Linked DNA regions of Schizosaccharomyces pombe. The protein of the gene in region 1 binds, or shares a complex with, the protein of each later gene. Each region holds a gene or a part of one and is shown in the gene's direction. Other genes may lie near its edges.

Region 1 (5,766 bases):
TGGGTAGTAATAATTTGGCTATTATGGGTAGTCATTTGCTATACACTTTTTCTTCGCGCCAAATTCGGTAATTTGAACTTAGACAAGGCTCTCATCTGTTCTACATGCAGTATTTCAGCTGCTTTACTTTTATTTTTACTATATGGTATGTGAAGTTATGGAGTTACCATTACTGACCGCTAACACGCAGTTCGTCTTCCATTTTGGACACTCAAGCATATGTTTTCTGGTTTGTTTCAAGTACTGGGTGTACAAAGTTGTGTCGTTATTGTACAGAAAGGTTTGATGCATTTATTTGATAAACATATCGACGGGACAGGCTACGAAATTGAAGCCTCTTCACTCTTTGTTATAGGAAATTTTCTTTTCTTTTACGAAATGGGTTTGTTTAATATTCCTGTAATTTACTCTAACCGTATCAGAATGTCCAGGTGCTCTCAAAAGGATGCCCAAATTTATCAGGAATGGTATAGCTTCTTTCCTAGGTATGTGTATTCAACCAACTGTATGAATGATTTTTTACTTACCCGACTAGGAGGTATAGCAAATGCGATTGGAGGTGCCAACGATAATAATGACATTCCCTTGGAAGAAACGGAGGCCGAAAGCGAAGTCTAATTGCTTTATTAATGTAGTTGTCGCTACAGTTGGAAAACCTCTTTACCAAAATCACCAATGCAGAGAAGCTGCGGCGTTTTTTAAAAAATTAGCACCAACTTTCTTTAATCATCCTCTTTCACTATAAGTTTATGGAATATATGCTTAACTTATTCTTTCAATTACCAAAGATTTTCAACCAATGCATTCTACGATGTTGGATAATGTGCATTGAGGACCGAAGTCTTTATTTATAATGTATGCGAGTCTAATTATTTGTCTTTTTTAATGGTACTCTACGCTACAAACAATAATGGTTTAACTTGTTTACGACAACTTTAAATCAACTAATGAAATCGGAAAACTCGTTGTTCCACCTTGTTAAATTCACAATTTCATTGTCGTTGTTACATTCATTTCTCCTTCATCTTGATTCTTAATTTAATCAAGCTTAATAATCATTTTTCCCTTCTGTTTAATGGTTCAATTCAAACAAAATTTAATGTTTACAAAATAATGAGCAGCATAATAGAATATTGTGGTTTAGAACGATGGTTTGTTATCGTAATTACGTGTAAGCTACGCAGTTTGGTATCTGATTTAAGGATACGTAGAACTGCGGTGAGTTTTCCTTGTGATCTATTATATTACAATACACAGGTTGTATAAGTAGCAACTGAGTATAGGTATTGTATTAACTGGGTTATAATGTTACCTATCACTAGTATAGCTCATAACTGAACCTCGTTCCTCAGTTCAGTGGTAGCTCTATTTATAGTATTCAGATAATATAGATCTGAATAGATTATCATTAAGATTAATCTCCATATCGTATCATACATGGTACGATATATAATTAGAACATGTGACATATAGTGATACGCAACGTAGTGTATCACTATATGTCATATGTTGAAATACTAGTTAAGATCCGCTTGTTGATAATCACAGGTAACTATTCGTCTATGTACATAAATACCCGTTGATAACAGCCATTTATAAATAGCGTTACAACTGAACCTCGTTCCTCAGTTCAGTTATGAGCTATACTAGTGATAGGTAACATTATAACCCAGTTAATACAATACCTATACTCAGTTGCTACTTATACAACCTGTGTGTTGCAATATAATAGATCACAAGGAAAACTCACCGCAATTTTACATTTCGTTAAAGTGGATACCAGATGGATAGTTAACTCGAATTTCTTCAAATACGACAATTTTTCACTAAAGTAGTTTAGTGACTGAGTAAATAGATCGTAAACTCGTGTCTGCCCTCTACCACTTCACTTTTACCCATTTTATTGTATTGAATGGCAATTAACTTAATTCGCTTCGAATTGCATATTTTCAATACGGCAAGTTTCAACTAAGAAGGAGAATTTGAAATAGATCTGTAAAGACGCGTATCTATAACTTGCTTATTCATTACGCGTTATTACGTTTAGTATAAGAAAAATACAGTCTGTCTTTTAGGTTTTGGCTGTTTTCTTTTTTCGTTAAAAAACAAATTGTTCTGAAAAAAAGGAAATTTATATTGATAGGTTGATGTATACGACTTTCGAGAATGTATCAGAATGGTAAACCAGATGCCCCCACAATCTTAGGCCAGAAAAGAGAACTTGAAGATGTAGAAATACAAGATGATGATATTCAGGTATGTTAACGTGTTGAGCCTTTAGGCATTCGAATGTTAAGACATGTCGCTAACTCTGTTAAAGGAAGTCTCTAAAGAAGACTTATTAAAGGATGTAAGAGTGAGGAGCATTCAATTTGATGAGTTAGAAAGTAAAATAGAGGGACTTCAAAATTTAGCAGAAGAGAAATTAAAAGTTTTAGCTACTTTGGTCTCTTGGTGGCCTGAAATACTTCAGCAGTTTAGCGTTGTGTTTCAAGGCAATGAGCTGAAGGACTTCGAGAGTGAAGGTGTTTTTTCGATTTTGGAGAAATTCCCGGAGCTTTCATACTTCAATGACGCTGTGAAAAATAATAAAACTAAAGCCTTGAGCATCATTCAAAAACTCTTGTCTACTGTTGACTCAAGCACAAATTCGGTCTCCAGAGATCCTTTTTCAGTTTTATCAATTGATGACTCTGCCCTTACTGAGAAATTAAACACCATTAATTTGGATATTGACAAGATTTTAGATGAATTGGATACCACTCGGTCTCAGCTTCATTCAATTATAAAACTACCAGATCGCTCGTCTAGTTTTACTTTGCAATGCATTAATGAATCAGTGAGACCCCAGTCTACTAAAGTGAAAGAGGAAGCAACCACCTCCTCTAAGGGGAAAGATGAAGAAAAGAAAGTTAGCACGGTTGAACAACGTACTCAACTGCAACAATTATCCAGGCTTCAAGACCAACAAAATGGTTTAATGGAGTCTCGCTCACAAAGCCTTAAAATTTTGGATTCGAACGTTAATGAAATGGATAAATTAATTATGGAACGAGAAAACGCATTAAACAACGTCGAAACTACAAACTTGAAAAAATACTCTTCCTTTTTAGCACTTAAAGAAGCTGTTTCTATGACATCTGAGCAGTTACGCGTATTAGAGCACTTATTGTCCGAATGTTCTCACGAAATAAATGTATTGTCGCAACAGTCAAAGAATTTTAACGGTGTTTTTGAATCTTCCTATCAGCCGTTAATAAACGATCTTGATCATCAAATATCTGTTATGCAAAACGATGAAAAAAGAATTAATAACGCAAAGACTGAATTAAGCTTATCCCTTGAAAAGAAGTTGGAAGCTAAAAAGCAAAAAGAGAAGGTCTACAAAGACAAGTTAGATGAACTTGCGAATTTAGAGACAATGGTATTGGAAAAGAAAAAAGCGGTGGCTACCCGTGAAGCTGCAAACAAAATCCGGCTCGTAGACCTTAACGATTTGGAGTTACAAAAAGATCTGTCAACTTACCTTTCTAAAGAGTTGGCTTCTACTGAAAAAGCATTTAGGTTGGTAAAACAGCAAACTGTGAAAAGTAGCCACTCCCATTATCAAGAATTGATAACCAAATTTAGTGTCGAAAAGGAAAAGGCGGAGCAAAAATATTTTCTGACCATGAAGTCTACAGATAGTCTTCATGCTGAAGTAAAGTTACTGCGCCAGAAGTACCAGAAGACCAACGAAATTATCTCAAAAATGTTAAATAGCCAAGACACTGCTGTCCATAGAATAATAGAGTTTGAAGATCAGCTAGCCCGTCTATCATCGGTTCGAAATAACTCTATAAAACAATCAACAACGTTTCAAGTCAAAAAGTCATCTCAAAAATCAACTATTCAAAACCTGGAAGAAAAGGTGTCTTATTTACAGCAATTTATGGATAAAAATAATGCTACATTAACAGACCTTGAATTTCAATGCTCAGATTTATCATCTTCTATAGATATACTTTCCAAGCAAGATGAAGAGCATGAAAAAGAGAAGCGAAAGTTAAAGGATACTGGGGTATCAACGTCAGCTGAAGAGTTAAAAACTTTTAGGGCCATGTGTAAGTGTTCAGTTTGTAACTTCGAGCGCTGGAAAGATCGAATTATTTCTCTCTGTGGTCATGGCTTTTGTTACCAATGCATACAAAAACGGATTGAAACACGGCAACGCAGATGCCCGATTTGCGGTCGTGGATTTGGTGCTTCTGATGTTATTCCGATACATCTTTGAAGAATATGTTTTATTTGTGTAAATTATGTCTTTCAGGAAAACGCTGTATATATAACAAATCATTTTCCTTAATATAATCTTTGAAACTAGGTCACGTAGTTTTTAAACTATCCAATGCATCTATGTTTTTAGTTAATAAATTTATTATTATAAAATCATTACTCGTCATTATAATTAAAATTCTATATTATACGGTTAAGGATTTTTTCTCGCACCACCCACAGTGTTGTCGAACTGAGTTAAAACCGAGCCAATCTTTTTCTGATACTGCCGATAAAGATCGTCCCTTCCGTTTCTTTTTGCATCTTTCATTAATCGCTGGTAATAAATTCGGACCATCTGTTTAACGTCAGGCAAAAGTTCCTTTTTGGGGGCAGCAATGAAGTGCTCGATAATTTTCTTGGCACCATTTTGGTATATTCCAAAGACTCTAGAAGATTTAGGAAATTCAACGTCGCCATGAATTTCCTTAACCGTCTTAAGAATCTGAATCATTGCTGACATATTTTTCAGCATCTGAAGACAGCTGCCTCTATTCATTGATTCTATTTTGTAAAAGATAGAGTATAGCGATGAATCAACCAGTTCACTCAGACCTTGGAATACAAACCTATAAAAAGTTAGCAAATCAATATAAGGAATTCATTTGTTATTTACCTTCGTTCCCATTCATTCAAACAGGTTTCGAGTTTCAAATTCGTCGTCACAATAGTAGAGTTGAGAGCCATTATCGAAGCATCTGGTCTTCCGCGGTACTCGACAACATAGTCAGGAAGGTTTACACTTTGATTAATACTATGAATGTACTGTAACCGAACTTCCATTCGGATTAGCAGTAAAGCATCGAATTGGAGCCTCTGTAAAGAATCAAAGACTTCTTTATATGCACTTTTATAAAAATCAGTATAAAGTTCAATACATACAGTAACATACCCCTTCATTAAATCCGAATTATTACCCAACAAATTATCAATTGGTAAAAAGTCACCACCGAAATTAGCTTGGTTTTGTTGCAAAACGTTCATTCTTCGCGAACCGTTCATAAATCTTGAAAAACAGCGCTGAAGAAACCATTCCATGGAGTTATGAAGATAAGAAACCGAGTTCACTAGGTCGGAATCTTTGGATAAAACCGATACCGGAAGTTTAACTTCGGACGTAATCGCACGATCTTCATATTGTAATAAACGCTTATTCTCCATTCGACAAAGCTCATTTAACCCTTCAAGTGATGGATTTTTTTGCTTGAGGAATTTAATAAATTGAGGGTACGTTACATCGTCGTGAAGTAGCTTTACTCGAACAGTATCATCGACATCTTCAGTATCCTCGTTGACATGTTTGTATTCTTTGAGAACAGCCGTTCTGCACAAATCTATAAAGGGTAAGCTGGGGAAACAGTGAAAAAATGGAAATGAAACATACCAGAGAGATAATCAGAACAATGGTTGCGAAAACGAACAAGCAAAGTATGTAATAATTCATAAAATTCT
Region 2 (4,547 bases), 1.8 Mb from region 1:
AATTTTCTTCAACGTATTCGCGTTCCTCTGCTGGTACAAAATCACGTTCATGACGGTCGACTTCTAGTGAGGTTTCATCCAGAACAATTTGGCCATTAACAACTCGCGTACGAGGAGTTGCAGAGTAATTGGAGTTGTTATTCAAACCATCAACTTCCATTTTATCTGCTAACTGATCAAGAATAGACTTTGTTGGGTGAGAGAGACTATCTTCGAGAGAAGCAGACTCATCCGTACCCTCTTCTTCCAAACTTCCTACTATTTCTTCTTTCTCTTTCGGTTCGCTTGATTCTAGAAGACTGGCACTCAAAGGCTGTTTGATGGTAGAATCTAAAGACGCTTCTCGACTAGAGCTTGCAGTACTTGCTCCTTGTTTTTTAATCCTCTTTGCTCGTTTTTCCTCAAAAAGCATTTTTTCTAATTCGATAAATCGTTGACTTTTGCGGCCAATTCCAGGATCATCACATAAAGCAGACATTTTGGTTTCACTTATGTTAATGATTTTCTCGTCGGTACCCACGTTTTCCAATATCAATTGACTTTTTCTTTTCAAAGAAGATTCTATGATGTTATTAAATAATGCATTTTAGATTAACCCTTTATTTACGTACCTCTATATGAACGGCGAGACTTTTTTGTAGCCGGAGAATCCGCCTTTCCGTCACTAACAGCACTGAGCTGAGAAAGGGGAATGTTCTCATCAAAAAACAAATCTAATTCCTTCATAAATTGCTGTTCGGCTGAAGAGGATAAATCGGTTTCAGGCGACAAATGCTCAATAGCATTTAACGGCTGCTCAAGAACCGTTGGCTTAGAAATTTTAAAAGTAGGATTTGAATGCAAAAGTTTTTCATTTTGTTTCACTGAATCATCTTTTCTATAGGATGAAGCTGTGGGATTTTCAGTTGCCTCTTTGTGAACTACTGTTTGCACAACCGGACTAGAAATATCAGCATTGGCAGTATCACGAGACAGCTGAGCGGATGTTTCTACTTCGTTTCCTGTGAGGGGTTGATTTTTTTCTTCATGAACAACCTCTTTTTGGTCCGATACTTTCTCTCTACGGGCTGTAAATTTAGGGGCAAACCTTGACATTGATTTTTCTGGTAAAACATTAGTGGAAAGCCCTACTACTTAAAAAAACGTACTTGTAGGTGAGGTTAATATTTGCGAGCTCATTGAGTCTGTTTAGACTGTAACTTCGACTCAATTGCATGAATTTCAAAAATTATGTGGCAGTGCGCATATGTTTGTACAAACATTTGCCTGTTGTCCATGAACCAGTAATATTTTAATAAAGAGGTTATATCCTGGGTATAACTGTACAACGAAACCAAGCAAGCCCGTCTGAATAGATTAATATATATGTGTAAAAAGTTTTATAGTCGCAATGATTGAGTAAGATATAAAATTAACTAAAGGTAGAAATAATCAGGGTCAGCCTCGAACAAACTTAGTTATTATAAAACGCTGGAAATGTAAGCTATAGTTTACAGATAAAGCAAGAAAATACTTTACACTAATATGAATAGTAGAATAAATTCAGCAATTTAGATAACCACCGAAGGAATTGAAGAAGCCATTGTCGTTAGCTAATGTTTATTTTGTCATTGCCAATATTAATTATATTATACAAATTACTACTTCGTAGGCGACTTTAAAGACAGGCATAACTAAGGTAAAGAAACATATTATTATAGCGAGGAATCTATTTGACTCACTAACGAGACATGACTACCATGTACAGATAACCTGAAAAAACTCATTAACCGTAGGAATTGGCTTAGTGAATGTTAATGAGCACATATTTTGATCCTAAGTACTTTATTTTAATTATAAAATAGAAAAGGAATTTTTTTGAAGTGGAATGAGCGTTGTGAATGAATCGAGGAAAAGAAGACGTCTTATTCACAGCGAAAAAGAAACGCGTCGTTTAGACCTCGGAGAAGAAGATGACTTAGAGTTATTTCAAAAGGAAGCAGCTTGGCGAAGATCTAGAGAGTATGAGCATCTCACTGTTTTGGAAAAGAAATTATACGAGTATTGGGAATCTCTAGTTTTGAAACTTGATCATTACGTTGCTGCTGCTCTGGAAAATCATGAACAATCATTTGAAGAACTAGAGAAAATCACTGCTTCTTTATATCAACCTGATGATAATTTACAGACACTAGATTTGTCACTTGCTGAGTTCAGTTTAATCAAAGATGCGCAAAACTATTTGAATAAGTATGCTTCCTATTTTCAAGCCCATGAACCTACTCTACAAAAGTTAGCTAAATTTGGTTCTTTTAAATTAAAAGAAACTCCAAACGTCCATGAATGGATAGACCAACGCCAGGTTCATTTTACAAGTATGATTAATTACCGTACTAGCCAACTTAAGTTGGCACTCCTAAAAAGGAAACTTTCCTTCTTTCGTGAAGCTTTGAATTCAGCTGAATTAGAATGGAAACGGGTGCAGCAAGATCAGCTTACTAGTGCTTCCGAAAGAAGTATTGAAAATATCGCTGATGATATCCCTGCTTCGGAACCAAAAGCAATTCTCGAAAATGGGGAAGGATGTTTAAATGATAATGATAATATTTCAAAACTAAAAAACAATTTTCAATCTCAAGCTGATTTGATGCAAGCAAATATAAATTCCAAATTGGATGAACTTTCTCAAAAATCAACTCGTGCAGCACAATTGTACGTCGACATTATGGGTATAACGGATGAAAGAGTGAGTAGAGAGCCCCATTATTTAGAGCTGAAGGGGGTTCTTTCTTCAAATGAAGAGAAAATCGAATCCATTAATCGGGACCTCTCTTCATTGTTTGAGGACATTCAGTTTTTTATTTCTCAACGGACGAAACGACAGAAGGATATTATTGATTTAAAATTGGCATGTGTAAAAGAGAAACAACAACTTATTAAAACCCTTGAATCATCTTTAACCCAAATTCGTAACGAACGAGACTCTCTAGTGGCGAAACAACAAATGCAATATACTAACAATCTATTTTTTGACGATATGATGCTTTTATTAAGCAACTTGTCAAACGCTCGGGTTGCAATTCTAGAAGGTTATTCAAATCGATTGTGCATATGGGATCGTATTGAAAGGTCTAAGACTGGTGAGATGAATAATGTCCTAGATGAAAAAGAAGAAATTTCTGCGTCTTCAGCTTTGGAAAAACTAATAAAAAATAATAGTTGTTTGGAGGCTGAACTCCCAAGTATGTATGCAGCATTTGATCAATCACAATCTCGTTTGTTGAAGAAATATGAAGAACTTGAAACGAAGGAGAAAAAAGCTTTGGAAATGCATTATGAAAAGGCTCGTGCCACCCAAAAATATTTTGCTGCCATGAAAGCTCGGGACATTCTTATGACAGAGAAGAAAACTCTTAAACTGGCCGAAAATAAAGAACATGATTATATAGGGAAGTTGCAAGAGCGAGAACATGCGCTAACAAAATATGAATCCTCTTTAAAAGCTGAATTGGAAGTTTATAAACAAATAAAGGAAATCTACGGGAAACACTCGGTCGAAGTTTTAACAGAAGATAAGCACTTACAAGTTAAGCAAACAAAACTTACTCAAAAACTTGAAGATCTTATAGAGTCTGTTCAAAAATCTGGGGAAAAGCTTATGATCATGCATCAGAAGTTGTTTCATTTGCAAGAAGAGCATACTATTTTATCCATAAAAGCTTCGTATAATAAGAAAGAGTCTCATCTTATAAACCAGGCATATGAAACACAAGAGGCTCAAGTATACAAAGGAATGTTAAAATGCTCCGTGTGCAACTTTTCTAATTGGAAATCTAAACTCATTCCAAACTGTGGTCATGCCTTTTGTTCTAATTGTATGGAACCTTTTTATGAGCATAAAACAAGTACATGTCCGCAGTGTGAAACACCTTTTTCGGTTTCCGACATTTTGACCATTCATCTTTAATTCTAGATCATCTTTTATATGATTAACGTAATGTTTTTGTTATTTTGGTACATAATATATTTTTTGGCATCAATAGTTATTGAAAGAATAGTCAATCCTATATACATATATATATATATATATATATATTTATTTATTTATTTACATATAAATATGTATGCTTTTTTTAATAAAAAACTAGTAATATCTATCAATTTGATTAACTTATTCCATTAAGCAACTTCGTTCATTCATATGCTAGTTTCGCAAGTCTAGCATCATGACTCACTCTCCATTATCCATGTGCCAAAAATAGAGGGTGTGTATCTGTAGCGACTGTAACTAGCGAAATAGGAAACAATTAATTACTATTAATTATTTTTTTAAATATTGGTAAATTAATTTATATTGGCAGCGGAATTATAATAATTCATCTCATTTTCTATTGATACGCGTGCAATCCCATTGAACAATGAGTCTGGCCGAGGATTGGATTGATCCTAATTCTTCTGAAGATTCAGATATTCAAGAAGATGCGGAATTGGAATACACAGCTGATAATCCCGAAAAGGAGCAAAGAGGTGTATTTTCCTTAGAGAAGGTGCAACTGCAGTTCCCTGTT

What was found. The genes of interacting proteins can lie anywhere in the genome.
Region 2: brl2 (region 1) and brl1 share a complex: the UniProt entries of both Schizosaccharomyces pombe proteins name them as parts of the histone H2B ubiquitin ligase complex.

The regions. Positions count from the first base shown.
Region 1 is NC_003421.2:487,902-493,667, forward strand, and holds brl2 (histone H2B-K119 ubiquitin ligase complex (HULC) subunit, ubiquitin-protein ligase E3 Brl2), read left to right. Parts: upstream 1-1,879; 5' UTR 1,880-2,166; coding exon 2,167-2,256; exon of another isoform or gene 2,257-2,320; coding exon 2,321-4,273; 3' UTR 4,274-4,468; coding exon of another isoform or gene 4,469-4,883; 3' UTR 4,884-4,930; coding exon of another isoform or gene 4,931-5,161; 3' UTR 5,162-5,206; downstream 5,207-5,766. Other genes in the region: wtf antidote-like meiotic drive suppressor Wtf9, read left to right, coding at 1-145, 191-382, 423-485, 536-618; sec8 (exocyst complex subunit Exo4), read right to left, coding at 4,469-4,883, 4,931-5,161, 5,207-5,648, 5,699-5,766. UniProt on the Schizosaccharomyces pombe protein: E3 ubiquitin-protein ligase which belongs to the histone H2B ubiquitin ligase complex (HULC) which mediates monoubiquitination of histone H2B to form H2BK123ub1.
Region 2 is NC_003421.2:2,238,108-2,242,654, forward strand, and holds brl1 (histone H2B-K119 ubiquitin ligase complex (HULC) subunit, ubiquitin-protein ligase E3 Brl1), read left to right. Parts: upstream 1-1,739; 5' UTR 1,740-1,867; coding exon 1,868-3,946; 3' UTR 3,947-4,047; downstream 4,048-4,547. Other genes in the region: transcription factor TFIIIB complex subunit Bdp1, read right to left, coding at 1-561, 612-1,103, 1,149-1,179; pep3 (ubiquitin-protein ligase E3), read left to right, coding at 4,398-4,547. UniProt on the Schizosaccharomyces pombe protein: E3 ubiquitin-protein ligase which belongs to the histone H2B ubiquitin ligase complex (HULC) which mediates monoubiquitination of histone H2B to form H2BK123ub1.